4 linked regions of the Struthio camelus genome follow. The protein of the gene in region 3 purifies or fractionates together with the protein of the main gene of each other region. This does not show direct contact. Links are inferred from orthologs where the notes say so. Each region holds a gene or a part of one and is shown on either strand. Other genes may lie near its edges.

The links.
Region 1: the proteins of WDR5 (region 3) and HDAC2 purify together in Homo sapiens (affinity purification with mass spectrometry; 7 studies listed by BioGRID and IntAct, with this or other methods). This does not show direct contact. The link is inferred for Struthio camelus from reciprocal best matches to the Homo sapiens genes WDR5 and HDAC2.
Region 2: the proteins of WDR5 (region 3) and HDAC1 purify together in Homo sapiens (affinity purification with mass spectrometry; 8 studies listed by BioGRID and IntAct, counting the BioPlex papers as one, with this or other methods). This does not show direct contact. The link is inferred for Struthio camelus from reciprocal best matches to the Homo sapiens genes WDR5 and HDAC1.
Region 4: the proteins of WDR5 (region 3) and RUVBL2 purify together in Homo sapiens (affinity purification with mass spectrometry; 3 studies listed by BioGRID and IntAct, with this or other methods). This does not show direct contact. The link is inferred for Struthio camelus from reciprocal best matches to the Homo sapiens genes WDR5 and RUVBL2.

Annotation. Positions count from the first base shown.
Region 1 is NC_090944.1:63,043,018-63,050,030, reverse strand, and holds the start of HDAC2 (histone deacetylase 2), read left to right. Parts: upstream 1-4,008; 5' UTR 4,009-4,276; coding exon 4,277-4,328; intron 4,329-7,013. UniProt on the Homo sapiens protein: Histone deacetylase that catalyzes the deacetylation of lysine residues on the N-terminal part of the core histones (H2A, H2B, H3 and H4).
Region 2 is NC_090964.1:8,597,555-8,605,212, reverse strand, and holds the start of HDAC1 (histone deacetylase 1), read right to left. Parts: upstream 3,010-7,658; 5' UTR 2,905-3,009; coding exon 2,856-2,904; intron 1-2,855. Other genes in the region: tyrosine-protein kinase Lck, read right to left, coding at 4,785-4,987, 5,313-5,444, 5,639-5,792, 5,884-5,960, 6,882-7,061. UniProt on the Homo sapiens protein: Histone deacetylase that catalyzes the deacetylation of lysine residues on the N-terminal part of the core histones (H2A, H2B, H3 and H4).
Region 3 is NC_090961.1:4,664,584-4,671,971, forward strand, and holds the start of WDR5 (WD repeat-containing protein 5), read right to left. Parts: upstream 3,007-7,388; 5' UTR 2,788-3,006; intron 2,367-2,787; exon of another isoform or gene 1,980-2,366; intron 1,189-1,979; 5' UTR 1,078-1,188; coding exon 997-1,077; intron 105-996; coding exon 1-104.
Region 4 is NW_027182627.1:50,403-58,213, forward strand, and holds the start of RUVBL2 (ruvB-like 2), read right to left. Parts: upstream 3,006-7,811; 5' UTR 2,918-3,005; coding exon 2,906-2,917; intron 1,878-2,905; coding exon 1,829-1,877; intron 1,539-1,828; coding exon 1,483-1,538; intron 497-1,482; coding exon 355-496; intron 1-354. UniProt on the Homo sapiens protein: Possesses single-stranded DNA-stimulated ATPase and ATP-dependent DNA helicase (5' to 3') activity; hexamerization is thought to be critical for ATP hydrolysis and adjacent subunits in the ring-like structure contribute to the ATPase activity.

The sequences.
Region 1 (7,013 bases), on a different chromosome or scaffold from region 3:
CTTCCTTTTCAGGAAAGCAACCCCAAAGCCCTGTTAGGTCACACGCTTTCTGGAACTCCGCTAAGGTCTGCTGAACACCTAACGGAAAGTTCTTTTTTTTTTTTTTTATTAATTGTCTTTTGTGCCATAAAGAGATTGTTAGCACTACTGGACAAAGGGCTAGGTCAATACCACAAGAAGTCAATACTACTTTTACTTATATTTATGTATATGTGATTACAAGTTTGTGGCTGTGAATGTTGCTAAGAGGTAACACCTGAAGAGACTTATTTTCCACTGATAAAAGGGGGGAAAGGGAGCAGGAGTGGTTTGTGTGATAAAAAGTTTTTGTTCCTTAATGTAGCTAATTGTACAAGGGATGATTTTATGTGGAGGTTAACCAAGGAAAAGGTTTTGTACGTAGTACCTTTAGGTTAAATTAGTTTCATTTTTCAGTGTGAACAGCCTGGTTTGAGGTGGGTTAAGAGGTGGTTGTTTGTTTTTCTGCTTGATACCATGAGGGCTCTCTAATTTTTGGGTTAGTAATTTTTCTTGCTATTGGAAGGAAAGAAATTTTATACTGATAATTTTTTTGTTTGTTTGTTTAACTTGATTATTGAGCTAATTATTGAGTTCTGCTGAAGTGAACTGAAGTAGTTGTATATAGATTAGCGTCTGTGTGTGGGATTTTGCAGTTTAGGCAGTAAGATAGTTAATAGCTAGCTTTCTAGCTGTATGCTTCTGCTTCTAGAGTACATGAGGGGAGGGAAAGAAGGTGATCTGGTCGTGATGTCTGTGGTATATGACCTATGCTATTTCTTTCACTGTTCCTCCTTTCCTAACTCTCTCCTCCCTAGCAGCTGCTAAAGGTGCTCTATTTATGCCTATGTTCTAAAATACCTTAGTCTTCTTGGCTATTACTATAGCGCACCTGTGGATTTGAGAATGCTGTCCTGACTGCTTTTTGATGATGGAAAAACAAAAGTTTAAATTTCCACCTTTTGTGACTCTCTCCTTCCCTGTTTACATAAGCATTCACTGAGCTTTCATAGTGGATGTGCTTTATGAGAAATATGTTTAAGTAGTTATACTTTATATTGTGAAAGCTGCTGCAAATGCTGAAGCTGAAAGCTATTATTTGATTTAAAACCTCCTAGCTCCTTTTTTCCATGTTGTTTACTATACGAGTACTGTGTGATGGAACAGCCTAAAGCTGGTATAGTAACAAAAAAATGGTGAAAGCTGAAAACTGTCTAACAGTAAAAACAACTAATTATAGATTGCATAAAAATATCTTCATTTTGTTGTAAATCCATGTCTATCCATAGTTAGATAGTCAAATAGAGTATTGATCTCTTTCACTAATGTTTTGCTATATACTTCTCTGCCTCAAAACCAGCGTGGGATTCTAGCAGCTGAAGTTCATGTGCACTTACTACGGGGAGTGATTACTCCTGAGTTTCTTCTGTGTCATTTACTTTTATGTAGCATGGTGGTCATGCTGTTTCCTTAGCAAATTATTTTGAATTTGCCTGGAGAACTTGCATTTCCAGAAGTGAGACTGGGCTAAATCATTATCCTTGTACACACACACTTGAAACTTAATATTTAAGCTTTTCTGACCTGTTGAATCTAACTGTGTCTCTAGTGTAAAACTGAGTTATTACAACTTAATTAACTAATTCTCATCTCAGGTTAAAGGGCAACTTTGTAAGCTTGTCTGCACTTGCCTCATTCACATGCGAGTTGTGTTTCTAGGAACTTTTCTAAATGAAATTATATATATCTTACTAACAAATTCAAACATTAGAAGAGTATATGTAGTCATTTTTACTATGAAAGCAAGTGGCTTCTTTTGACTTAGCTAATGTCACTGGTTTAAATTAAACCAAAATAAGCTGTTTCTGTATCAGGTTGAGCACCCACTCAACTGAAACTAATTTATGTAACATTAATTAAGAACCTTTTCTTTATACAAAGCCCCTAAGGAGCCCCTTTTACTTGCACAGTGCAAGCAACACATTCCTCATATTGAGCCAGGTGACATATGCTATTATATTCTTGAACACAAATGCTTCTCTGGCAACTACAAAACCAAGTAGTTGACTACTGGCATTCTGTATGCTTGTGGAAAGAGTATGTTAATAGTTAATATTAGGTAACCAAGAGTGCACGGAGCTTCTGCTGTCCGGTCTAATTCTGTTCAAACAGTGATTGTACTAAGCAGGCTAAGGCTAGAAGAAAATTACTGGTGAGTGAACAGTATCATGCCTTGTGGGTCCTAATGTCATGCAGGTATTTTGCTGTAGTCTGTAGCAAGAAGTCAGCTGCATGACAAACTATAAGAATTTTTTTTATGCTACTCCTAAGAGTAAAAAATTCCAAATAAAATATGGCAAATGCTTTCTACATATGCTACAACACTTGGCTACATAACTGAGTAGTCTCCTTCCCTTATAACGCTAAGGGAGGGGGGGAAAAAAACCAATAACCCATTTTTACTTCAGTGTGTCCTAAGTTTATCTTCAATGTGTGTTGTATGTGTACATGTAATTAGCATAAGTGTACTTTACAGCTGTCTCTATAGAGAACCAACTTATCACCCAAGAGGACCTAACTTTGTGCTAGATATCTCTAGGGGTGAAAATAACCTGATTCTGGAAGCAGAGATCTAACTTTGGTTTGGACATGTACTAGTTTTGGTAAGTGATACTGATAAAGGGCAGGTATTTACATAATCTGATATAAAGGTGCATATGAATCTGTGTTTACAGATACTCCTAGGATCTTTGATAAATCAAGAAACCTTGGTTAAGACTTCTAAAACTAATGCAAGTCCCTAAAGCTAGGATATGAGATTTTTCATATTGGCTGAATAATCTTCTGTAACTATGTTGATGACTGAATATACACCCTCAGGCTTTGATACACGGGACCTCAAACTCCAAGAGCTGTGAAGCCTTGAATTGTTGCCAATACAAAAATGCTGTAGTTATTGGCTAAGCCTAAATGTTACCAGCTTAATCATTTATTTCTTCCTCCTGGATGTGTAACCAAACCTCAAGGCAGAGAAAATTGCTGGTAGGTCTCAAATTGAAACTTGATCCGGATGTCAAGCCTCATATATAAAACCCCAAGTACTTTGATCTTGTAGCGTGCTTTCCTTCTGGAAAAAGGAATTGCTATGCACATTGTAAAGTATGCTTTGAACTCCTCCTAAAACAGGGACGCGTGTTTTACTGGGCAACAATAATGTCAATACGGTATGTGCCTCCAAGAGCGCTCTTAGTTGCAGCTAGACACAGACCTACCTGTTGTCCTGTGTGCTATGATTTGTGTGAAGGAAGGTGTGTGCTGAGCTATTTTAAAAGTGTAAAGAGGTGAGGTTTTTCAGTGCTTTCAGTATTTAAAATAAAAAAAAAAAAAAAAAACAGTATGTAACGCTAGGTCCGGAGAATCAGAACTGCTTTTGGTGGGAGAACAGACAAAGAGGGTAGGAAGTGAAAAGGGGGATGGGTGCGAGAAGCCCGAGAGGCCGAGTATTTGCACGCGGCCCGTACTCCCGCTCAGGGGAGAAGGGCCCTGAGGCAGGGGCCGGCAGCGCGCCCGTAACGGCCGGGGGGGGGGGAGGGGGGCCGCGCGCGCTCGGGGCAGGCCCGGGCGGGACCCTGCCCCACTGCCCCGGGTGGGGGGGGGGGTGGCCTGAGGGGAGTTGGAGTAACCTATTCCCGCGCTGAGGCGAGGAGCAGCCCGCTTTTTTTCGGGCACGGGCAGTGAGGTCTCCCGCCCCGACCCCGCTCCCGCGTCGCCATGCGATGCACAGCGCAGGCGGCGCTGAAGAGGGGGCGTCACCCCGCGCATGCGCCGTCTCCCTCCTTCGAGCCGGCGGACCGTACCACTGCACGGGGCTGGCGTAGGGGTGCGCATGCCAGGCGCCGCCTCGAACGTCTCGCTTGTGAGGGCTCACCGGTGCCTGCTACTGCGTTCCGGCCTACATGATTGAGTGACAGCCGTAGGGATGAGTAGAGGAGAGCCCACGCTCACTTGCGCCCGCCCTCTCCGCCTACCTTTCTCTTGCCCTCCCCCGGGGCCCGCGGATTGGGCGCGCCCGTGTTGCCGCGCCTCCCCACCCCTTGGTCGCGTCCGCTCGCGCTGCCTGTGCCCCGGCGTCGCGCGTTCCCGCTCTGTCGCGTCCGCCTCCGCCCGCCCCCTCCCTCCCTTCCCCGCCGGCTCGGCGCTTGCCTCGGCCTCCCGCGCCCTCCCCCTTCCCCCGGCTCAGCCCCGGCGCGGCGGCCCCATGGCGTACAGTCAGGGCGGCGGCAAGAAGAAAGTCTGCTACTACTATGACGGTGAGCGCGGGAGTGCGGGTGGGGGAAGCCCCTCTAACCGCCGCCGGGGGCGGCCTCCTCCCTCCTCCCCCCCCCCCCCCCCACCGCCCGGTCGAGGTGCCCCGTGGGCACCGCGGTGCGCAGCGCCGGCCGGTCCCCGCCGCCATCCACCTGCAGGGCCGGAGCGGCGCGGGGAAAGGCGACCTGGAGCCGCACAGGGTGCTGGTGGGGAGGCTGCCCGGCTTGCGGCGGAGCCGGGGGCCCGGCGGAGAATGCTGTGTTTATTGTTACCGCTTCCCTCCCCCCCCCCCCAAAAAAAAAAAAGAAAAAGAAAAAAAAGTTGATACACTCTCCTCCATCCGCTATCCGTGAAGACGTTGGAGTCGCTGCCGTGTCTGGCTCCTCCCCTGCCAAAAGTCTAGGCCATGTGTAGGTTCGGCACCTGGTGATCCTTGCAGCTGAGGCCTTTCGTCCAGTTTGTATAGAGGCTTTCTGTCTGTGGAGGGGACAGGCGTATTCTTCCCAACCCCCCTCCCCCCAGGACATGCATGAAGAGTGTAAATTTGGCTTTCATGAACCTCTGCTCTAGCAAAACACCGAAGTCGCATGTATGTTTAGTAATGGGGAAACTGGATTTTTTTGTAGGCCTTCTTAAGTTTGTGCACTCGCCTGGTGAGAATGTAGTGACTTGTGATTTGCCTTGTCAGTCACATCTAAGAAGTACATAAAGCTCACGCTTTAGTTTCTGGTATTTGCAGCAACTTGCTTGTGGTTCTTTCTGGCCACAACAGAGAAAACTTTTCTATTTTTTTTTTTTTCCAGGGCTTGGGTTTGGTTTTATTTTTGGTACTGGGAGGGTAAACTGGTCAGATTAGTTACCAATTTCATTTTTAAGATTTCCTCCTGTCATGGGAATCCCTTAAGTTGTGTGTGCAGTAGTCAGGAAACAGAGGTTGAGGCTGCTTTGCTTGTGATGTGTTTTCATCGTTTGGGAAACGGAGAAGAATGGCTAAACCAAGCAAGATATCAAAGGTGTCTGTTGCTGTAGCAAATCTGCCGCTGTTCAGAAATGGCAGATCTTGTGGGGCCTGTCTAGTTTTTTTTTTCTTCTTTTTCTTTTTTTTAACTACACTAAAGGAGGCAGAGTGGTTGTTGCCGCCCCCTTCTCTTTGTTGCTAGCTCTCGTTCTTTGTTCAGCCTAAAGGGGAAAGGAGGCCCCAGTTAGGGAGAATTTTGGTGAAGCTGGGATCTTACTTGTGCCAGGGAAGAGGGCTTGCTTTTTTGCATTATTGAAAGAAAGATTACATTGATAGTTTGCAAGCTTTCTCCCTGCAAATGATTGCATGTTTGTTTTTTATCAATATACATTTTTTTTAATGTCAGGTAATTGTAGTTCACTAGATAGCTGTATCTCCAGTTTTGCGGTGATGCCTTGATTTTGATACTCGGCGCTAGTGTCAACCTCTGTTAACTGAGACCCTAAACAGCCATAAAACTACACTAGTGAAGAGGCAAGAGAAAGTGGGGAAGGGAGAAGTTTTGAGGTGGCAGGACAATGGTGACTTCTAAGTAGTTGTAATTAATACCTTGCGAGTTGTAATTAATACCTTGCAGTAGACTACAATAAAAGCAGTCACTAATAAGCTAGGGAAAGGAATATCTGTAGTAAGAATGATTTAGAAAATGCTTGCTCTGTAACAGAGAAATTAACAGCATTGGAATGTTTATAATGCCTTTTTTATTTCCTGACAAAGCCAATAGTTGTATTTCTTTCTACAGTGTTCACTTGGAGATAGTTATTAGAAAGAAGTTTAGACCTAATACCTCTGGTAAATGTTTCTACTGCTAATTTGTGGCTCATGTGATAATCTTGAGTACTTTCTGTTGTGTTCTACCAGCAAAGTCTTGAATCAAAGTGCGGGGAGTGTTTAAAGCCTTAAATAACCCAAAAACAAATGTACAATTTGTATCTTTGTACTTTTAGATCATGGTGGTGTATGTCTAAGAATGTCATAATTGAAATAAATGACCATTTTCTTTTTTGTCATAGCTGTCCCTTGGTGCAGACTTTCACCCTGTTTCTTCAAAAGGATTCAGCAAGAAGTATTGAAAAGTACTGAAAGTATATATATGTTTAATGTGAGAGGCAATAAATTGCCTTATGTGCTTTTTGTGGTAACTCAGAGTGGTTGTCATCTAAAGTTAGTTGTTCAAATTGGCTAATCACTTATCAGGTCTTCTCCGTGTGTACTGCAGTTAACATTTGCTGATTATTAACAGTTTTCATAGCCTTTGCTTTGTACTCAGAACCAATAAACTTACGGTAGAAGGAACTTGATTTCCCTTTCTTTAGTTTGTAATAGATTGGTCACCCACATCCACTTTGCAGAATTTCTGTTGTTGGTGATCGCTTTCCAGTAAGGGATTTTATTTAAACTTGAGCCAATATACAATGAGAAGAACTAAAGACATGCACGTTAAGATATTTTAGTTCTCTCATTTAAGAGCTTTTGAATAAATGTTTCTGATCATCTTTATATGTATGGTCATCTCTTAGGGATGTGTGTTGCTCCCACTGCAAAGAACTGTGCTAGATGTGAAAGGATATTGAAGCTTTTATTTTAGCCTCTTACCATGTGTCTTCAGTTTGTTCCTATGGTCTCCCAGTATGTGATTCAGGTAGTTCTGTGGACCCTTCCAAAAGAG
Region 2 (7,658 bases), on a different chromosome or scaffold from region 3:
CAGTTTTCTTTCAACGCCCTGGCCACTTGCGCATGTACAGTATTCTGATACTTCCTGCAACTATTCTTCAAGTTTAAAGTCGGCATTTTAGGGCCCGCGGCACCAGTACCCCACTGTATTTTGATCTGCTGGGTATTGCATAGAGATCAGTTGTACGCAGCACTGGGAATGAAAAGGACGGTCCAGAAAAATCAGGCTCACTGTTTCACTGCACCGAGAGTCCTAATTCAGACTCTTCCTCGTCACACTCCCCTGGAGACTCTGGCTGAGTCAGAGACCTGGTGCAGCTATCATTACAGGTTAAAAATCTATCACTCAGATTTGCTTTTCTGAAAAAGCAAATGCCCTCGCTATATGCCCGACATATAAAGCAGTTTAAGCGAGCTCACTTTATGGCCTTAACGAACACTGAGCACATCCACTTACCACAGAAAAAAACCATGGAGAAGTAGTTTTTATTTGACTTCAGAGACTAAAAACCATGATGAAATAGAGGAGACTTGCACAATACCTTTCACATAGAGTGATCACAGACTACAGTAAAACTCAGCTCACCCACTACCGAAACACCAGTTCCCCCCTCCAAAGGGGGGGGGCAGTTGCGAACGTGCACAGAGACAAGGCAGCTGTGAACGTGCACAGACTCCCTCTGCTAAAGGAGAGGCAGCTGTGAACATGCACAGAGACAACGCAACTGTGATTTCTTTCACAGACTATAGGGGAAGAGTGAGGAAGCTACACAAGTTACCTTGGCTGAGATCTGGCCAGCTCTTATACCCTATTACTTTGCTACCCCAAATATATAGCCAAAAAGCAGTGTTTCCCTATCCTTGTAAAAGGAAAACAAAGCAAAGCAAAAACACAGTCTACAATCCAGCCAAGTTTAGAGCCAGAATTAAACAATACTCCTAGACACAGGAACTCCCTAGAAATAGCCATGCAATTGGTCTGGTTGCCAATGTCTTCATTTTTGTCCCTTGCTTGATAGTGATCCAAATGGAGCTTCAGGAGCGTCTGTTCTGCTTACCATGGCTCACGGAGGCTCTTAACCCTTTCCTCCCCCCCCCAGCATCTCCCTGAGTGCTCCCCATCCCCCCATAAACCTTCCTCAGTATCTTGGCATAGCTCCCAGAGCCTCTCTCAGCCCCTTGCCCTTCTCCCCCATCTTGGCCCCTTCAGAGCCTTTCCTATTTCCACCCCACCTCCAAGTTTTCCATTCCTCCCCAAGTTATTCCACCAACCTCCTCCAACTTTCCACCAGTGCTGCTCCCTATCTTTCCCTTGCCCCATATCCTTCCCTTCCACCCTCCAGTGTTTCCCCATATCCCTCTCATGAACCCCACTCCCTTGGAGGCTCCCTACTGCTCCCTACCCCCCTGCCATGCACCCTACATCCCTTGCAGGCTCCCCAGCACTCCCTACACCCCTGCCACGCTTTCCACATCCTTCCTGTGACCCTCAGTCTTCCCCAACCCTTCTCCTGCCTTCCACTCTCCCCTGCGCCTCCCCTCACTGCAGTTCCCCATACATCCTACCCCGATCCATGCCTTAACCCCTGCGCCCCATCCCCTAGTGAAGTCCCCATCCCTTATATGTCTCTCAGTGTCCCCCACCACCCCACCCACGCCCCAGTGCAGCCTCCAGCTCCCTAAGTCCCCCCATTATCCATCCCCCTAGTACAACTCCCAGCCCCCCATGTCCCCACTACCCATTCTCCACAACCCTCATGCCTCCATTACCCATCTCTCTATTCCCCACTGCAGCCCCCAGGGCTACCATTACCCATCCCCCACTGCAGTCTCCTATGCCCCACCTCCCCCAGGGCCCCCATTACCCATCCCCCACTGCAGCTCCCAGCCCCCCACGGCCCCCAGGGGCCCCATTACTCATCCCCCACTGCAGTCCCCTATGCCCCACCTCCCCCAGGGCCCCCATTACCCATCCCCCACTGCAACTCCCAGCCCCCCACGGCCCCCCACAGCCCCCATTACCCATCCCCCACTGCAGCCCCCAGGCCCCTACGACCCCCCACAGCCCCCATTGCCCATCCCCCACTGCAGCTCCCAGCCCCCCACGGCCCCCAGGGGCCCCATTACCCATCCCCCACTGCAGCCCCCAGGCCCCTACGACCCCCCACAGCCCCCATTGCCCATCCCCCACTGCAGCTCCCAGCCCCCCACGGCCCCCCACAGCCCCCATTACCCATCCCCCACTGCAGCTCCCAGCCCCCCACGGCCCCCAGGGGCCCCATTACTCATCCCCCACTGCAGTCCCCTATGCCCCACCTCCCCCAGGGCCCCCATTACCCATCCCCCACTGCAACTCCCAGCCCCCCACGGCCCCCCACAGCCCCCATTACCCATCCCCCACTGCAGCCCCCAGGCCCCTACGACCCCCCACAGCCCCCATTGCCCATCCCCCACTGCAGCTCCCAGCCCCCCACGGCCCCCCACAGCCCCCATTACCCATCCCCCACTGCAACTCCCAGCCCCCCACGGCCCCCCACAGCCCCCATTACCCATCCCCCACTGCAGCCCCCAGGCCCCCACAGCCCCCATTACCCATCCCCCACTGCAACTCCCAGCCCCCCACGGCCCCCCACAGCTCCCATTACCCATCCCCCACTGCAGCCCCCAGGCCCCCACGGCCTCCATTGCCCATCCCCCACTGCAGCCCCCAGGTCCCCCATTCTCCCCAATTCAGCCCCCCAAGTCCCCAGTACCCCATTACCCCCTCCCCCGCGCCACCTCCCCTCCCCCCCCCCCGACGGCCCGTCAGGCTTCCGCCCGCCGCCGCCCCCCCCCGGCGCGGCGCTGCCCCGCAGCGGCCCCCGGAGGCGCCCCGCAGCCCCTCACCGTCGTAGTAATAACAGACTTTCCGCTTGGTCCCCTGCGTGAGCGCCATTTTCCTGCCTCCCGACAGCGACAGACCCTACCGCCGCGCAACCGAACCCGCCCCGGGGCCAGTCGCCCCACCGCCTCCCCGTGCCCCCGCCCCCGCTGGGCAGCCCGCCAATCGGGGAGGGGCTTCCTGCCCCCTATCTCCAGCCGACCAATAGAAAGTCCCGGCGGCGAGTGAGAGCGGGCGCGGGGGAGCTAGCAGGCTAGGTCGAGCGCCAGGGTGCTTGGATCGTACCATTGCCGGCGGAGGCGAGGCCGAGTGGGGGGGGACGGGATAGGACTGTACCATCACCGGAGAGTGGGGGGGAGATCGTCGTCAGGCTAACGGGGAGGGGGATCCAGGTGGGTGGGGCGGAACCATTCGCGAGGAGGGGGAGCGCCAGGTGGGACTGGACCATTCCTAGGGCGGAGGGGGGGGGCGTCGGGGGCCAGGCCTCAGGCAGGGCCTGCCTGGGGCGGGAGTGAGGGGGCCAGAGAGGGCCAAAGGGGGCTGGTGGGGGGCATGAGGGAGCCAAAGGGGGCCAAAGAGGGCTGGGAGGACATGAAGGGGCCAGAGAGGGCCAAAGGGGGCTGAGGGGGGTGTGAGGAGGCCAAAGGGGATAGGGATGGCACAAGTAGGGCCTCACGTCCCCCCCCAGCACCCCAGGGCTGGGGGTGAGACAAGCAGCGCGAGGTGCCGGTCCCCGAGGGTCCCCTGCGCCCACCTCCCCCCCGGCCATCCTCCGCTGGCCTCCCTCTCCCCGCAGCTGCCTCCAGGGGCAGGAGCCAGCTGTGGTTCAAAGGCCTTTATTTCCCCAAAATAAGACAGCAGTAGGATTTTTAGTCTTGCGATTAAAAACGTGGGGAGAAAGGGGATCCTACAGCCAGCGTCTGGTCCGTCCGGATGGCCCTTTCCTAAACGGGGAGAGTTTCTGCTGGAAGTGCCTTCGATGGAAGCACGCGGAGTCCCCGGGGCTGCAGGAACCGGGAAACCTTCCCGGCTCCGGCCCTCGCCTCCGTGCAGCTCCCCCTGCCCCTCTCCGGCCCTCCGGGGTCTGGATCCCTGCTCTCTGCTCCGTCCACTGCTCCCTCCTCCTGCTAGACCAAATCCAGAGGAGTTGGGGACCGGGTGCATGCAGGGTGCCTGCCAGGGCGCAGCCATGCAGCAGAAAGGCTTGGAGGGACCCCGGCTCCGGCAGACGAGGTTTCACCTCTGCGGCATCGCCCCAGGGAGCCCGGCTGCTTGGAGGGGCCGCGGGGAGGGCAGGGGTGCCGTGTCCCCAAATGCCTGGCAGAGCCGTGCGAACCCCTTCGGCGCGGGTATGCTGCCGACCGCCGCCGCTGCGCACAAGCACTGCCCGGAGGGCTCCGGCGTGGGGCCGGGACGGCTACGGGGCTCTCCGGGACAGCCGCCCGCACGGCGGCTCCTGCAGCTGCAATGGGGACCTGCCTTCAGCCTTGGGGTAAACGCGGAGGCGAGGTCCGGGGCGGTGGATGTGAAAGTGCACAGCGTATTTTCCGCGCCTGCCCGGGCCGGGGGCAGCTCGGCTCGCAGGCAGCCTCGGGAGGAGCCGCGCGGTGCCGGGTGGAGGTTGCATCGGCACCGGGGCGAGTGCGGGGACCGTGTCGCGGGCACGGGGGTGCGCGGCGGCCGGAGTCCCGCACGCGCTCTGCTCGAGCCGCCCAGCCCGGCGGTCCTCGCCTCTGCCGCCTGCCTGGAGGAGTCGTGTGTCAGCTTGTCCCTCTTCTTCTGGGGGGAAAAAAATCCGCTGCTCCAGAAACGCATCAAGTCTTTACTGTTGCCTGCGAGAGCGGTGAGGTCCGGCCCGTGTTTGCAAATGCCCGGGGTGATGCGTGGGGACCCAGCGGACGGGGAGCACCCGCGGAGGCCGCTGCGCGGGTCCCTCACGGCTGCTGCTGGTACTGGCCCTCGGTGGCCGTGAAGAAGTCCTCCAGCACGCTCTTCATGTACTCGAAGGTGGGCCGGTCCTCGGGCCGCTCCTTCCAGCACTGCCTCATCAGTTCGTACAGCTCCTGCGGGCAGTTGTCCGGCTGCGGCATGCGGTAGCCGCGCTCCAGGTTCTGTATCACCTCCGGGTTCGTCATCCCTGGGAGGGCAGCGCGTGTGCCACTGGATTTGGGTCGCCCCAGCACGTCCCAGGCGGCACCTTATATTTGCAAATCCCAGGGAAAGCTTCCTCCCCCCCCCCCCCAAAACCGTGTCTGAACCCCCCGATGTCTTTGGGGCTGGCAACGTGCGTTGGAAAGAGGTCAAAACCGTCGCGGGCTGGCGAGGGGAAGGGGAGCGAGCCAGACGGGGCGGCGCGGGAGCGAGCGTGCGTGCGTGCGGCAGTGCATGTACACGCCGGGCGCGCGCGTGCGCCCCAGCCCCAGCCCCGCTGCGGAGTGCCGCAGCTGCCGGGAAATCCTGACCTGGATACGGGATCCGGCCGTAGGTGATGATCTCCGTCAGCAGGATGCCGAAGGACCAGACGTCCGACTTAATAGTGAACGTCCCGTAATTAATAGCCTCCGGCGCCGTCCACTTAATGGGGAATTTAGCCCCTGAGACAGAGAGGGGAGGAGAAAACGTTACGGCTGAGCTGGGAACAGCCCCCCTGCGCAGCCAGGGGTGACGGCCCCCGGCCCGTTCCCGCGCTCGCCGCCAGATAGGGCTGCGATCCCGCCGAAAGCGGGGCTGGGCGGCAGGCGGGTGCCGCCGCCGCCGCGGCCCGGGGGCTCTGCCGCGGCCGACGCACCCTCGCGAGCCGTGTACTCGTTGTCCTCGATGAGGCGGGCCAGCCCGAAGTCGGCGATTTTGCAGCACAGGGTCTCCGAGACGAGGATGTTGGCGGCCCGCAGGTCGCGGTGGATGTAGTTCTTGGCCTCGATGAAGGCCATGCCTTCGGCGATCTGCGGTGCGCAGCAATCGCGAGGGGTTCAGGTCGGCAGCCGGAGCGGGGCAGCTCCCAGCCCAGCCCCGGCGGCGCCGTCCCCCCCTCACCTGCGCGGCCATGTCCAGCAGTTTGTTGATGGTCAGCTTGACTCCTTCCGAGGTCTTGAGGAAATCCACCAGGCTGCCTGCAACGAAGCCGGCAGGTCTCAGCGGCAGCCTCGCCGGCAGCCGCTGGGGCTGCGCGCCGGGGTGAAGGTGCCAGCAGCCGCGCCGTCCCCGCGCCGTGCGGCGTGGTCCCCCGCCGCCGCGGAGCCTGGCGCTGGGAACGCCCCGTGCCCGGGGAGCGAGGAGCTGCGGCCGTCCCGCAGCCCGGGGGTCCTTGCTGCGATGCAGGGCTGGGGACGGGCCGGATGGCCCCGGGCTGGCAGCCTCCGGCTCGAGACCCTTTGTCACAGCCGCGCACGGCAGATCCGGCGCGTTTCCTCCGGGAGGACTGCCAGCTCCCGGAGGACGCCCTGGACCCGGCGAGGAGCCTGTCCTTGCCCTCGGGCCCTGGCCTCGGCCGCACCACTGCTGGGAAGCTCGCAGCGCCCGGAAAGGCAGGCGGGGAGCGGCGGGGACGGGAGAGCGCCGCGTCCGCAAGGTCCTGCCCGCTGCCAGGAATAACGCCGGCGCCGGATCCGCTCCCGGCGGGCCGGAGGGCCGTGCTCCGTTGGCCGGGCTTTTATCAGCGCGAGGAGGCGAAAGGCGGCCCCGGCCGCAGCAGCCACCGCGGGCAGGCGCGAGCGGGGAGCCGGGCTGGGGCTTCCCGCTCTGCGCTCGCTGGGGACAGGGATGGGACAGGGAAGCGCCCCGGCACCTCCCAAACCCTGGCCACCTCCCGGCGCGTGCCCACCGCCCCGTCCCTGCGGGGAGCGGGCAGGGACGCACCCCATCCCGCCGGCCCCGGGGGACGCGGCGGCCAGAGCCCGAGCGAACCGCCACGGCACGCTTCCTCGCTGGCCACGGGGCTCGGCACGGCGCAGACACCCCCGGCGCCCCCGCCTCACCCGTTTGCACAGCACCGTGCCGGGCAGCAGCCGGCGGCTCCTGCACCCCCCCCCCACCTTTCTCCATGTACTCGGTGATGATGTAGATGGGCTCCTTCGTCACCACCGCGTAGAGCCGCACCAGCCGCGAGTGCTGCAGGTTCTTCATGAGGTTGGCCTCCGCCAGGAAGGCGCTGGGCGACATGCTGCCCTGCTTCAGGCTTTTGACGGCCACCTTGGTGTGGCCGTTGTAGAAGCCTGCGGAGAGAGGGGGCGGCGCGTGACGGGGGCAGAGGGACCCCCGCGGCGGGGCAGGGCCGGGAGGGGCCGGGCGCCAGCACGGGGCTCCCAGGCGGTAATCACGGGTGGGCGCCTGCCTGTCCAGCTGGAGCATCCCAGCTCGGGGATTCGGGTTTCGAGCCCGAAACCGCTCGAGCGAGAGATGCTGGGAATCGCAAAGGGCGGCTATGTCCCGTCATCCCAGAGATGATGGAGACTGCAAGGACTGGCTAAAGCCCCGCCGTCCCAGAGACACTGGGGACCACGAAGGCCAGCTAGGGCTCACCCCCAGCTGCATTTTGAGCCAGCAGGCAGAGATTTTACATGTGGCTTTTAGCCAGCAAGAGGAGAAGCTGCTGCTGGCACTGGGCTTTTAACTCACCAAAGATGCAAGCTCCCAGCAGGGACAAGTAGGGGAGCCAAGCTAGGGTAGCAAAGCCACCCCAGCCTGGCTCCTGCTGGGCATCCGCAGGGGGCCTTCGGGGGCTGCGGCCCCCGTGGGAGCGAAGGCAGGGAGCCCTGCGGCCGGGGCGGCGCGGAGCCCGGCAGCTGCAGCCTCCCCTCTGCCGCGGCGCC
Region 3 (7,388 bases):
CTGGCTAGCCACTCTCCATTAGGACTAAATTTTACTGACGAGACTGCCTTTGTATGTCCTGCTAACGTGAACTTTAGAGCATAGTTTGGTTTTACTGGTGCAGGCTGTAAAAAAAAAAAAAAATATATATATATATATATATATATATATATATATATACACACACACACACAGACACACACATACATACATGAATGAGTCGTATAAATACCAAACTGAATATCTCAATGACAAGTTCTGTATTAGACCAGGTCACTACACAGTATCAGACTGCATGAATAGTCACCATAATAGATTCTACTGTTTACATTTTCCCCTCTCCAAATTCAGACAAAAATCTTGATGCCTGGAGCAAGCAGTGCCTCACTGCACATGCACAACAACAAACTCATCTTTGGTATGAATTACATCCAAACCAATAATAAATAGGCGAGAGTAATCCAACAGTCCAATCACAGACCGCCTGACAGATTAAAATAAAACACTTAGTGCTATTAAATATTTGTAGTCCTTTAACTTTTTGTGAATCATATCACAAACCAATTCTTCCACATTCCCAAAACCCCAAACATTCTCCCTTCTCACCATTTGCACAGTTTTTGCGGTTAAACAGTGACAACTCCCTTCAACATCCACAGGCCTCAAACAATGACTGCTTCTCCACCCTGCAACTAAGACGGTAAATTCACCTATTCTCCAGTAACGTCTAGGCCTTCCAACACCTTAGATTTCTAATGCTGAAAGGGACAAAAAGTATTTCCTCTGCATGAACTTGAAGAAACAAAGATACCCTAGCACAAAAGAGGTTGTACTTCATCTGCTTTCCCATAAAATCGTTAGCACATTTTCAGTTCAACAGCAGTAGCAGAAATCCCAAGTTCTTAATTCCTATCAGAATTCAATTTCTTAAAAATCTCTAATTCTAGTTTGCCTTTTGAATATGTAGACAGTTTCCATGCGTATTTACAAAGATATTGTTCAGAGGCCCACACACACCTTGCTCTGATTGGTTGAGGAGGAAGGAGTAGATTGTGTTTTGGTGGATTCTGCATCTGGCTTCTTTTCTTCTGTTGCCATGGTTCTGAAGCTGGCAAATGAGACTTATGGTGCTTGAAGGGGAGAATGAATGTGCTGCTTCAAAAGACAGCCTTTGCCACAGAGAGGAGAAATCACACTGGAAATGAAAACCTGGAAGAAAAACAAAGTATCATTAGCTGTCAAAGAAAGATTGTCAGCAACTAGAAGAATGAGATGAGCATAACTGCAGGTCCCCAGAAACCAGTGTTAAAAGACAAAACAAAACAAGAAAAACACGCACTATGGATCTTTTATCCAGAGAACTGAATCCTGCAAGCAGACTTAAGGAAACATCACATCACCAACATAGCAACATTTATTTCATGCGGTCAGATCTATTAAAGTGCAAGATCAAGAACCCAATCTGTGGCCTTTAATCACTTCTTGGAAAGCTGTTTTACACTGCCCTGTTAATTAGAAATAAAGCAGAATAGCTTTTAGGTGTGGCAAGGTTTTTCCTATAATACTCCCCAATATGCCTATGAGAAGTACTTTAATAGCATAGTTTAAAACCATAGACAATGGTTTGCGCAGAAGGTGGAAAGATCCGTCCGAGGCCTTTTTTCAGATGTATCAAGACACAGAACACAAAATCATAATACAAAGAAGAAAGTAACAGGCATCTCCAAAGCTTAAAATCTTGCTAGGTTCCTTTCATCTTGTAATTCAAGTATTCCAGTCTCATGTTTCTCCCCTAAACGGTCAGAGCACCAAATCACGCTCTTCTTTTCCTGAGTCTTTCACCTGACTAAGAGCCAGCCTTGTATTAGTCGCAACAGACTTGCTTTCTGTAACAAAACCTGGTAAAGCGCTGTGCTGGTATTCTGTAATCGGCGCTGATACTGCAGAGGGAACGATCTCCGCTGCAGCTCCGCCAGATTTCAGCTTAGTAACAGACTCACCTCCAGCTCACACGCCAAGGATTTGTCTTTAAAGTACGTTTGCAACATCCCGCTACTGCTACCGCTCTTTTCTGCTGGTGGCAGCAGATTTGGGCGCAACAGCATTTGCTCTTCCAGCGACCAGCGGCATGATAAGCACCTCGTCCTCGGGAGGGCACAGAGCTAAGCGCTACCGGTTGCCTGCCGGCTCTTACAAGCCCTCTCCGCGGCGCGGACAGACGGCAAGAATAAGAAATGAAAACTTTCCTAACCCAGGTCAGATCTTTTTCATCTGGAACTAATCCGGCAGCTCCCGCGAGCGCGCACCCGCCCTGCCAAGGCGCCGCCGGCTGCCGGGGGGCCGCGACGGCATCGCCCCGCGCAGCCCGGCCCCCGCCAGCCGCCGCCGCGCACGCGGCACCGACACCCGCCCGCCCGCCCGCGCCACGGCCGCCGGCAGACGCCCCTGCCCGCCCGCGCCGGGGGAAGTTCTCCGCCGGGAGCCCAAACTTTGGCGGCGGCGCCGCCAGCTCCGCGGTGCGGGGGGGGGAAGGAGGTCGCAGAGCCGCCGCCGCCGCGCCCGCCCCGCGCCGCTCCCGCCGCCCCCCGCGACGGGCGGGAAAGGGAAGGGGGGGGAGGGGGCGCCGCGCGCTGCCTGAGGGGAGGCGGCGGCGGCGGCAGCGCCGCGCGCGCGTGAGGGTGGGAGGGAGGGTGTGTGTGTGGAGGGGGGGGAGGGGGGAGCTCCGCTCCGGCCCCCCCATTCCACCCCACCCCATCCCATCCCATCCCGCCCCGCCGCCGCTGCTGCTGCTGCCTCTCAGTGACTTACCGGGGGAGGGGGAAGGGGCGGGGGAGATGGCGGCGCCGCCGCCTCCTCCGCGGCGGGGCGGGGGGGGGCAGCGCGGCCGCGGGAGGGGAGGGGGGGACGCGGCGGCGGCGGCAGCTCCGGAGCCGCCAGGCGGGGGAATGTGGGATGGCGCATGCGCGGTCCGGGCCAAAGGCTGCACAATGCCGCTCTCTCCCGGGAGCGCTACGGCAAGGCCGAAGAGTCAAAAAGCAGCAAGCGGGGAGGTTTGGGGGGGGGGGGGGGAGCTGGCAACGCCTTAAAGGCGCAGGCGCCTGCTTCACTTCTCCCTTTCCCCCTTGCCGCGCCTTCCACTCGCCTTTTTCTCTCTAGGGTTGAACAGCAGCGGCTAGAGAGAAGGAAGGATGTGCCCTGCCCTCCCTCCGCCGAGGAAGAGGCCTGCAAGCTGCAGCCGCAGCTCCGGGGCGGCCAGGCGGGCAGCCGGCCTCGAGGGCGCAGGGCGGCCGAGGCCTGCGAGGCGCGCAGGGGCCTGCCTGGCGGTGTCGGCCGGGAACCGGCGGTGCTGCTGGGCTCAGCGGAGAGGGAAGGGGTGGCGGGAGGGGTGCTGATAATCCACCCCGTGCTGGCCCAGGTTAACGGGACGTACCCCCCCCCATCACCTCGCGCTCGGCCCTGGGCGGCTTCCCCTCGTAACAGGGAGCGCTCTAGGGGCTGGCGGTCGGGGACGGAGCCCTCTGCCTCGGCCTGTGCTGAATGACAAAAAAAAAAAAAAAAAAAGTAATTCAGCCCGGCCACAGCAGGGCTGGATGTTTTGGGGGTCATAATATGCAAAACAGCACTGCTGAAAATATGCTGCAGTGCTGCGGATAAGAACTGGTAATGAAAAGGCTGGATGCTGATCCATCAGGCTCGACACTAACGCATGTAATGCGTAAAGGTGATGTGTGAGCCATTCAATACCACAATATTTGACTGGGTATGAGTACATCTAAGCCAGTCCTCGGTGTACAAGGGCCCAGACTCAGAAAAGCATATAACTGATTCATTACGGCCAAACAACCTACTTAAAGTTAAGCGCCTGTTTAACCACTTTTCTGGAGAGTAATGTTTTCTTTTTTTTTTTTTTTCCTCCTGAACCACAGCTCTAGGCTGCACAGGACGCAGTACGGTCTGCTTTTAGTTAAGAGGAAAAAAAAGCAAGAGACACGTGTCACTTACTGGCCCTTTAACACAGGAAGATCTTTGGGCTCCAAAAATTCTAGTGGCAGTTGAGAAAGGAAAAAGCTGAAAAAAGCTGCGGTGCAGCGAAGCCAAGGCCCATCTCCTTCAGCCTGGAAACCCAAGCGGAAGTCTGGAGAATTAACCCTGCCATCCAAACGCAGGGAGGAGAACACAGAGATGTAAGAGCTGTGCTGTCCCCAGAACCGTATTAGGAAATGAATCAAGCTGAGTTTCAGTCAGTCCTTCTTCCAGATGGATTTGGCCCGAAGTTTTGTTGTTTGAAAAAAAAAAATGGGGGGGGGGGGTGAGGGAGAAGGCACAGGAGAGTACACAAATCAGCATGATAATGCTATTTATTTGTTCAGCTTTCTTGTGATAGGAATAGAGTGTTTTGTTTCTTTCATGCTGGTTAAAGTTTGTCTGTATTGTGCCACTGCCTGCTTTGGAAGCCCTTGCCTATTATTTTATACATATGTGCATATATATATTTATATCTATATCCTTATCTATAGTGAATAATATATCTCTGGAACTCAAAAATGATAACCCCAGTAACATAGTAACAATTATTCTAAACAACCCCTTGGCTTCTGAATCCTGTTTTTGTTATTAACACATTTGAATGATTTTAAGCAGAGTTTGGCTAAGTATTTGCACACATGCTGGACTGGATTTTTGACAGCATGGCTCATGCAGAGAAAGGAAATGCAGCGAGCAAGGGCATTTCATCAGGACTGAATAACATGAGTGAATACTCAGAGATCCAAAGGACAGCCCATTGTCTTGGGATGAAGCTTAACTTGTTGGTTATGAGTCATCCATGAGGATCCTTCTTGCTCTGATCAGGCTGTGCTGCCGCAGCTGTGATCAGCAGGATGTGCTATCTGTCCAAATTCCCTCTCTGTAAAAGAGTGGGGCTTGGCAGGCTGCTCTCTTGCAAAATCTTTCATTCCATTTGGTTCAAAATAGCCTGAACGTGGTGACCTGCCAAGTACACTGGAAAAGACACCTGTCTGAGAGTTTTTGGAAGGGAGCAGCTTCCCATAATGGTGAAAGGGAAAGAAAAGTCTTTCCGTAAATGGCTCAGAGCATACGAGAGTGACTGCTGTCAGTGCCGCTGAGATCCCTTCAGGTGGCTTTAAGGGTGTCAGGAACTAAGCTGGGGCCAAGGGTCCTGCTGTTGCTAATGTAATAAATTTTGTCACAGGTTCCACTGAGAGCAGAATCAATCCAGTCCTGCAGATCTCATCCAAATGATGTTAATATTTGTGGAAAAGCTCCCACTAACTTCAGCACATGCTGGATCTGCTTTTTAGACTTGTCTGCTACAAACAAGCACATGCTTACGTTTGTGACGGTAAGTAATAAGGCACTAAGCTTACAAGCTGCATTAGCCCATATTTAGGCTTTGGCACAATTAGCAGTCTCAGTTAGGGTTTTTATTTGCTTGGGCCACTCGTACAGCAAACGGAAAGCGCAGGACGGACAGACTGTGTGTTACACACTGTTGAAGAAACAGTAGGAACAAGAAATCGTGAAAGAGACCTGCTGCATCTTTTATACTTTTAAAGAGCAACTGATCCCTGACATGTAGCTGTTTCTGTGTGGTTGCTAATATGCTGCTCTGTTTGTTCTAAATCCCAGATACATCACGTTCATATGTTTCTCCTGGGATTTAAAAACAAACACTGAATGTTTTCCAGGCTGATATTTCTACCTCCCCCACTGCAGTATGAACCTTGCTTGCATCAGTGCCAACATTTGTTCATTGAAAACTAGGAAACCTTACCTCAGTGGAAAGTAGGTAGGATTTGATCCATTTTGCCCAGGGATGGATACGTACAAACCCTCAGCCTGGGCACAGGAACTTATGGAAGCTGAAGAACTTCTTTTGAAATAAGATCATTGAACATGGCATGTATAGAGCTCCATCTCAGTAAAATTCCTGTTATGAAGCGGTCTGCGTTTGTGTAGGAGAAGCTAGGACTTCATGCAGGATTAGGGTCCAGCACAGTGCTGTAATGTATCATTCTGTACAGAGTCTCCCCAATCTCAGCCAACTTAATGCAAAAAGGCTGCTGATTTGAGAGCCTTAGACGGAATCACACGTGATCTGACTGCCAGACGTGATGACAGCCTGCCTCTCCCAGCCACTTCAACTGGAGCAGCAGGTTCTCAGCACTTCTGTGAATCAGGAACTTTGTGCCTGGCTGGTGCAAATGGTTGCAATGCAGATGAATGGACAGTTCGATACAACTAGCTCATATCCCTGTCCTGAGACAGTTTTAACGAAATCTAAGTATTATTATTACTCATTGTCATTGAGAAATGGAAAAGTTTAGAACTGTTATTATTAGATTAGAGCACCTCTTTACCATTCTCTCCAGTCTTTGTAAGAGGGCGGGATGAAAAGGAAGAAAATACACAGGAATCCATTAGGGATTTGGCCAGCTGAAACCTAGCATGTTCTGGTATCTGTCAGTTTAAACTGCCAGCTCAGTAGCACACGCTATTCAAAAGCTTGCTTACCTGTGCAAACCACTGTTAACAGCAGGTGCTGCATATTCGCACCACACTGAACGTATAACAAAACCATTTAGACACATCTAACCAAATAAACGTATTTACTGTGGCAAAGGCTACATAGCCATATCGAGTGAGTGGTTTCTCTTCACTTCTCAGATTCCTTTGGCAGGTCCTTTTCTTCTCTCCTGCAATACTTCAGTGCAGGGACTGAAGGCACAAACCTTGCGTATGGTGAAGCAAGATTATTTATTTCATATTTCGTCCTCTCTTATATACCGGACCCTTATTGTGTAAGAATACGGCTGTGTTTACTGACTAAAGTTGCTTTGCTACGTTACTACAAGCCACGTTCTGCATTAAGATTATCTTCCCTCTCTCACGTCCTTGTCCTAGTTTCAATATCTGCATTCTGATAGCTCACGGGCACCTGCCCGTCTTGGCACTGACACAAGTCTTCATATTATGCACACTTTCCCAGGGCTTCTGGCACTGAGGGAATGCTTTGTTGCTGCTCCTAATCGTCTTCTGGTACACATCGCCCCCGACATCTCCCCCTTTTTGTTTTAACAAAACTGCATACGCTTGTTGATTGAAGGCGCGATCTATCATTCGTTGCACGCATTGTAGAAGACAGGGAAACAGGCACAAACAGACTAAGATTATCAACAATACAATCAAGCCACTCTTCACAATAGTTAATAACCACCCTGTGATCCCCCATCCTGAGAATACTCGTCCCAGCCAATCATTGTCATCTAACCTCAACTTCGCTATGCTCTCCTTCAATCTCACTATACTGTCGTGAATAGATTCTGAGTGATCTGACAAATTCATAAAACACATTCCTTCCAAAATCTCACCCCCGTGGCCATGCGCCA
Region 4 (7,811 bases), on a different chromosome or scaffold from region 3:
CGCCTGCGTGGGGGGGTTGAGACACGCGTGTCAGCGCCGCGCACACGCGTGTGCGGGGGGGACGAAAACACCCGCGGGGGGGGCCGACACGCGTGGGCGAGCACGCGGCGCCCCCACGGGGACAGCCAGCGGCGGGGCCCAGCGCCTGCGCCGTGCGGGCAAGGGGGCGGGCACGCGTGTCAGCGCGGCGCACATGCGTGTGCAAGGGCCGACACGCGCGTGAAGGGGCCGACGCGCGCGTGTGCGGCCCCGTAGGGCACGGCGGGGCGCTCGGGCGCCTCCGGACAGCGCGCAGGCGTGCCGGCGCGGGGCACACGCGTGTCGGCGCGGCGCACACGCGTGTGCGGGCCCTACCCATGGCGATGGCGGTCTTGCCGGTGCCGGGCTGCCCGGCGATGAGCACGGCTCGGCCCGCGATCTTCCCCTCCTTGATCATCTCCAGGATGACGCCGGCCGCCCGGCGCGCCGCCAGCTGCCCCACCATGCCCTGCGACACCTTTGGGGGGGGGTCCGGGGGGGTGGGGGGTCGTGGGAGCGCCGACCACCCCCCAAAACCCCCCCCAAATCCACCCGGGACCCCCCCAGAACCTCCCTGACCCCCAAAACACCCCAAAACCACCCCCCGGCGCGCCGCCAGCTGCCCCACCATGCCCTGTGACACCTTTGGGGGGGGGTCCGGGGGGGTGGAGGGTCGTGGGAGCGCCGACCACCCCCCAAAACCCCCCCCCAAATCCACCCGGGACCCCCCCAGAACCTCTCTGACCCCCAAAACACCCCAAAACCACCCCCCGCGGCACGCCGCCCGCTGCCCCATCGTGGCCTGTGAGAGCTGGGGGGGGTGGGGACCCCCAAAATCCCCCCAGGACCCCCCACATCCACCCCAGGGCCCCCTAAAATGCCCCCCTGCACCCCCAAGTTGCTCTAAAACCTCCCCAAACCCACCCCAGGCTCCCCCCAGACCCCCAGGGAGCCCCCAAAAGCACCCCAGGACCCCCCCAAGGCACCCAGGGACCCCCCCAAAAGCACCTCAGGACCCCCCCCACCCCCCAAGGCACCCAGGGACCCCCCCAAAAGCACCCCAGGACCCCCCCAACCCCCCTCCAAAGCATCCAGGGACCCCCTAGAAGTGTCCAGGACCCCCCTGAGCCCCCCCCAAAACCCCCAGGGACCCCCTAAAACCACACCTGGCTCCCTCTAAGACCCCCCCAAACCATCCCAGGGCCCCCCAGGACCCTCAGGGCCCACCCACGACCGCCGGAGACCCCCCAAAACCAGTCCAGGCCCCCCCCCAAAAGCCTCCCCAAACCACCCCAGGATCCTCCTGCCCCCCCTAAGACCCCCAGAGCCCCGCCCCGGCACCTCTAAGACCCCCAGGGACCCCCAAAACCCACCCAAGGCTCCCCCGAGCCCCCCCCAAACCCCTAGAGCCCCCCCCAACACCCCAAATCCCTGGACACCCCCCCCAGACCCCTCCCCCGGTACCTGCCGGGGCTCCAGCGCGTCGTCCAGGCCCAGGCCGCGGATGTGGGAGTGGGCGCCTGTGGGGTGGGGGGGTGGGGATTTGGGGGAGGCCCGGACCCCTCCCCCCGGGTGGGGGTCTGCCCCCCCCCCAAGGATTTGCTCCCCCTCACAGTAGGGATTTCCCCCCACGCTGTGATTTCTGCCCCTCCCAGGGAGATCCCCCCCCCATAGGGGTATTTACCCGTCTTCAAGGCTCGGGTTTCCCCCCCCCCATAGCAGCGTTTTGACCCCCCCGGGGGGGCTTTTGCCCCCGCCACGTGGGGATTTGCCCCCTCCCCGGGGATTTGCCCCCCCCCCCGGCGCTCACCGATGCGCTCGATCCGCGTCACATCCCGCACCTCGGGCACCTTCGTCGTCTGGGGGGGTCGGGGGGGGTCAGAACCCCCCCCAACCCCAGATCTCCCCCCCCGGATCTGCCCCCAGACCCCCCCCAATCCCTTGCTGCCCCCCTCCATGGTCCCTCGTATCCCCTCAGCCCCCCCCGAGCCCCCCAGATCCCCCCTCCCCTCCTGCCCCCCTCAGACCCCCCTGAGCCCCCCCAGACCCCTCCATTTCTTCCAGCCCCCCATCCCCTCCTGCCTCCCCAGACCCCCCCAGACCCCCTATCTCCTCCAGACCCCCATCCCCTCCTGCCCCCTCAGAACCCCCTGAGCCCCCCAGACCCCCCTGGACCCCCCATCTCCTCCAGCCCCCCCAGGCCCCCCAGAGCCCCCATCTCTTCCTGCCCCCCCGAGCCCCCCAGACCCCTCTGAGCCCCCCCAGACCCCCCCATCCCCTCCTGCCCCCCAGAACCCCCTGAGCCCCCCAGACCCCCCATCTCCTCCAGACCCCCCCCGGGCCCCCCATCCCCTCCTGTCCCCCTGGACCCCTCAGACCCCTCTGAGCCCCCCAGACCCCCCTGGACCCCCCATCTCCTCCTGCCCCCCCCGAGCCCCCCAGACCCCCCTGGACCCCCCATCTCCTCCTGCCCCCCCCGAGCCCCCCAGACCCCCCTGGACCCCCCATCCCCTCCTGCCCCCCTGGACCCCTCAGATCCCTCTGAGCCCCCCCAGACCCCCCTGGACCCCCCATCCCCTCCTGCCCCCCTGGACCCCTCAGACCCCTCTGAGCCCCCCCAGACCCCCCTGGACCCCCCATCTCCTCCTGCCCCCCCCCGAGCCCCCCAGACCCCCCTGGACCCCCCATCTCCTCCAGCCCCCCAGGCCCCCCATCTCCTCCTGCCCCCCCCCCGAGCCCCCCAGACCCCCCTGGACCCCCCATCTCCTCCAGCCCCCCCAGGCCCCCCATCTCCTCCTGCCCCCCCGAGCCCCCCAGACCCCCCCATCCCCTCATTCCTCCCCCCCCCCGGGCCCCCCTCAGCCCCCCGGGCCGGGCCGGGCCGCACCGCCGTTGCCATGGCGCCGCCCGCTCCCGCTCCCGCGCTCGCGCTCGCCTCGCGTTCGCCCGGCGGAAGTGACGCGCGGGGGGGGAAGGGGAAGTGGGGAAAGGGACCGCTCCGGCCGCGCCGCTCGATGGTGCGCGGTCCTCCAGCCCCGCCGGGGGGGCTGCCCCATGGGCTGCCCCGTAGCCTGCCCCATAACCCGCCCCATAGCCCAACCTGCCCCATAACCCGCCCCATAGCCTGTGCTATAACCTACCCCATAGCTCAGCCTGCCCCATAGCCCACTCCATAATCCGGCCTGCCCCATAACCTGCCCCATGACCTGCCCCACAGCACAGCCTGACCCATAACCCGCCCCATAACCTGCCCTATAAGCTACCCCATAGCCCAGCCTGCCCCATAGCCTGCCCCATAACCCGACCTACCCCATAACCTGCCCCACAGCCTAACCTGCCCCATAGCCTGCCCTATAACCCGGCCTGCCCCATAACCTGCCCCATGACCTGCCCCACAGCACAGCCTGACCCATAACCTGCCCTATAAGCTACCCCATAGCCTAGCCTGCCCCATAGCCTGTCCCATAACCCGACCTGCCCCATAGCGTGCCCCATAGCCTGCCCCATAACCTGCCCCATAACCTGGCCTGCCCCATGACCTGTCCCATAGCCCAACCTGACCCATAGCCTGCCCCATAACCTGCCCCACAGCCTAACCTGCCCCATAGCCTGCCCTATAACCCAGCCTGCCCCATAACCTGCCCCATGACCTGCCCTGCCCCATAAACTGCCCCATAGCCCACCCCACAGCCCAGCCTGTCCCATAACTTGCCCCATGACCTGCCCCATAGCCCACCCCATAGCCCAGCCTGCCCCATAACCTGCCCCCTAACCTCTCTCATAACCTGACCTGCTTCATGACCTGCCCCATGACCTACCTCGTAGCCCCGCCTGCCCCATAGCCCAGCCTGCCCCACCGCCCGCCCCCCAACCTGCCCCGTGGCCTACCCCACAACTCAGCCTGCCCCCCCCCCCAACCTGCCCCACCGCCCGCCCCGCGGTGGGCCCCACCTCGACCCGCCCCGCCGCCGTTTCCCCTTTAAGGCGCGCCCCCCCTCCTTCCCGCACGTGGGGGGGGGGAAAAAAAACCCGCCGCCTGTCCATCACCCGCCGGCGCAGCCAATCAGCGTCGGGGAGGGCCGGGCCGGAGGGAGGGAGGGGCGGGGCCTCGCGGCGACGGCGGGCGGGAGGGGTCATTCCTCGCTGAGCTGCGGGAGCGCGAAGGAGGTGAGCGGGACGGAGGGGGGAGGGGGAGAGAGAGGGGGGCCCCCCCCAACCGGGACCCCCCCCAAAAGTCCAGGTGGAGGGGGGGGTCCCACTGAGCCCCCCCCAGGGCCCCATTAACCCCCCCCAGGGCCGGCCCCCCCCCCCAAAAAAAGTCACTTTTTGGGGGGGGGGGAACCCCTGGAGTCTTCCATGGGGCGGGGAAGGGGGGGGCCGGGGGGGTCGCAGGGGTGGGGGGGGACCCCGGGGGTGGGGGGGGCTGGAGGGGGGACTCGATGGGGGGGGCGACTGGGGGGCGGTTCCGGGATCTGGGGGGGGGCCGTGGGGGGGGGCTCTATAGGGGGCCTGCGGGGGGGGTTATGGTGGGGGGGGCCTATAGGGGGCAATGGGGGGGTCCATGGGTTGGGGGGGCTCTATAGGGCGGCTGGGGGGGGCTATGGGGGTGTTGGGGGGCTCTATAGGGCGGCTGGGGGGGGGCTATGGGTGGAAGGGCCTATAGGGGGTCACTGGGGGGGCCCATCATGGGTTGGGGGGGCCTATAGGGGGCTGGAGGGGCTATGGGTGGGGGGGCCTATAGGGGCTATGGGGGGGCCCATGGGTGGAGGGGGCCCTATAGGGGGCCTGGGGGGGCTATGGGTGGGGGGCCCTATAGGGGGCAATGGGGGAGGCCCATGGGTTGGGGGGGCCCTATAGGGGGCTGGGGGGGGCTTGAGAGGGGAAATGGGGGGGCTCTATGGGGGGGCTCTATGGGGGGGTGGGGGGGGCCCTGGGAGGAGCCTGAGAAGGGAAATGGGGGGGGGATATGGTTGGGGGGCCTATAGGGCCCCTGAGGGGGGCAATGGGGGGGGCCAAGGGTTGTGGAGACCCTATAGGGGGTCTGGGGGGGGCCTATGAGTGGGGGGGACATGAGGGAGCAATGGGGGGGGCTCTATGGATTGGGGGGCCCTATAGGGGGCCTGGGGGGGCCCACTAGTTTTGGGGGGAACTATATGTGCGGGGGGCCCTGAGGGGACAATTGGGGGGGGGTCCTGGCCCTGGGAGGGGCCCCCCATGGGTGGGGGGGGCTGGGGGGGTCCCTATGGGTGGGGGAGATCTCTGAGGGGGGGCTGTGCCCGGGGGGGACCCCTATGGGGGCACTTGGGGGGGGTCCTAAGGTGGGGGAGGGTCCCCAGGTGTTGGGGGGGGCCTATGGGTGGGGGGCTCCATGGGTGGGGGGTACAGTTTCAGGATGTCCCCACGTGACCCCGTTTTGGGGGGATTTCCCTCGTTTCCAGCTGCCCCCGGGACCCCTGGGGGCGGGGGGGAGATGCTCCCGTTTCGGGGTGCCCCCCCCGTGGTGGTTTTGGGGCGGTTTCCCCATTTTTTGTGCCCCCCCGTGACAATTTGGGGGGTTTCCCCTGCTTTCAGAGTGCCGCCGTGCCCCCAATCGGGGGCGGGGGCATTTCGGGGCACCCCCGGGACGGTTTGGGGCCGATTCCCCCGTTTTTGGGGCACCCCGGTGACGTTTTGGGGACATTTCCCCCCTTTTCAGTCTCCCCCAGGGTCATTTTGGGGCATTTCCCTATTATTATTGCTCCTTTTTGGTAACGTTTTTGGGGTTTTTACCCCATTTGAAGCCCCTGATGGCATTTTTGGGCTGTTTCTCCCCATTTTTGCTCCCCACTGGGGACGTTTTGGGGGCGTTTCTCCTATTCTCAGCCCCCCAGTGCCATTTTGGGGCCATTTCCCCCATTTTTGGCCCCCCACCGGTGACACTTTGGGGGCATTTCCCCTATTTCAGGGCACCCCGGTGCCATTTTGGGGGTAATTTCCCTGCTTTTGGGGTCCCGGGTGACACTTTGGGGGCACTTCCCCTATTTTCAGCCCCCCCCAGTGCCGTTTTGGGGACGTTTCTCTTATTTTCGTCCTCCCAGCGACGTTTTGGGGGCGTTTGTTCCACTTTCAGGCCCCTCAGTGACATATTGGGGGGGTGTTTCCCTTGTTTTTGGGCACTTCAATGCTATTTTGGGGGTAACTTCCCTGTTTTGGGGGTGTCTGGCGCCATTTTGGGGCCATTTCCCGCATTTTCAGCCCCCTCCGTGCCATTTTGGGGGTAACTTCCCTGTTTTTGGGGTGTCCGGTGCCATTTTGGGGCCATTCCCCCCATTTTCAGCCCCCTCAGTGCCATTTTGGGGGTAATTTCCCTGCTTTTGGGGTGTCCGGCGCCATTTTGGGGCCATTTCCCGCATTTTCAGCCCCCTCGGTGCCATTTTGGGGGTAATTTCCCTGCTTTGGGGCTGCCTGGTGACATTTAGGGGACAGTTCCCCCCTTTCCGCCTCCCTCCGGGACATTTTGGGGCTGTTCTGCCCGTTTTGGGGTGCCCCCGTGCCCCTGGCAAGGGGGGTGCTGGTTTTGCCCCCACCCCGGTGACGTTTTGGGGCCGTTTCGGCCGTTTTGGGGCGCAGGCCATGCCGCTGGCCCGCAGCGTCTCGGTGAGCTCCCTGCCGGGGCTGGAGGACTGGGCCACCGGCGAGAGCCTCGACAACGTCGTCCTCTTCGAGGTGGCCTGGGAGGTGGCCAATAAGGGTGAGTGGGGCCCGCCCGGACGCCGGGGCCCCTCCTCGCGCCGGGACAGGGGGGCGGCAGCACCGGGGGTTGGCGTGACCTTGGGGTGGGCAGGAGCACCCCGGGGTTGGCGTGACCACCACGAGGTTGGCGTGACCACCACGGGGTTGGCGTGAACACCATGGGGTTGGCGTGACCACCATGGGGTTGGCGTGAGCCATGGGGTTGGTGTGACCACGAGGTTGGCGTGACCACTGTGGGGTTGACGTGACTCTGGGATTGGCGCGACCGCCGTGGGGTTGGCGCGACCGCCGTGGGGTTGGCGCGACCGCCGTGGGGTTGGCGCGAGCCGTGGGGTTGGCGTGACTCTGGGGTTGGCGTGAGCACTGTGGGGTTGACATGAGCTATGAGGTTGACCCAAGGTATGGGGTTGGTATGACCCTGGGGTTGACGGGACTGACATTGGCGTGGGTGCTATGGGGTTGGCACGAACACCGTGAGGTTGACATGAGGAGCCTGGGGTTGGCGTGACCCCCATGGGGTTGACGCGAGCCCTGGGGTTGCGTGACCACCGTGAGGTTGGTGTGAGCCACGCGGTTGGCGTGAGCATGGGGTTGGCGCGAGCACCCTGGGGTTGACGTGACCACCGTGGGGTTGGCGTGACCACCATGGGGTTGACGTGACCGCTGTGGGGTTGGCACAACTGCCGTGGGGTTGGCATGGCCACCATGGGGTTGACGTGACCACCACGGGGTTGGCGTGGCTGACATGGGGTGGGCGCGAATGTGGGGTTGGCGCAACCGCTGTGGAGTTGGCATGACCTTGGGGTTGGTATGACCAGGACTTGACATGAAAACCATGGGATGGACACGAGCCGTGGGGTTGGCCCGACCCTGGGGTTGGGGTGACCACTGCGGGGTTGGCGTGACCACTGCGGGGTTGGCGTGAGCACCATGGGGTTGACATGACCCTGGGGTTGGTGTGACCACCGTGGGGTTGGCATGACCTTGGGGTTGGTGCAACTGCTGCGGGGTTGACGTGACCACCGTGGGGTTGACGTGACCACCGTGGGGTTGGCGTGACC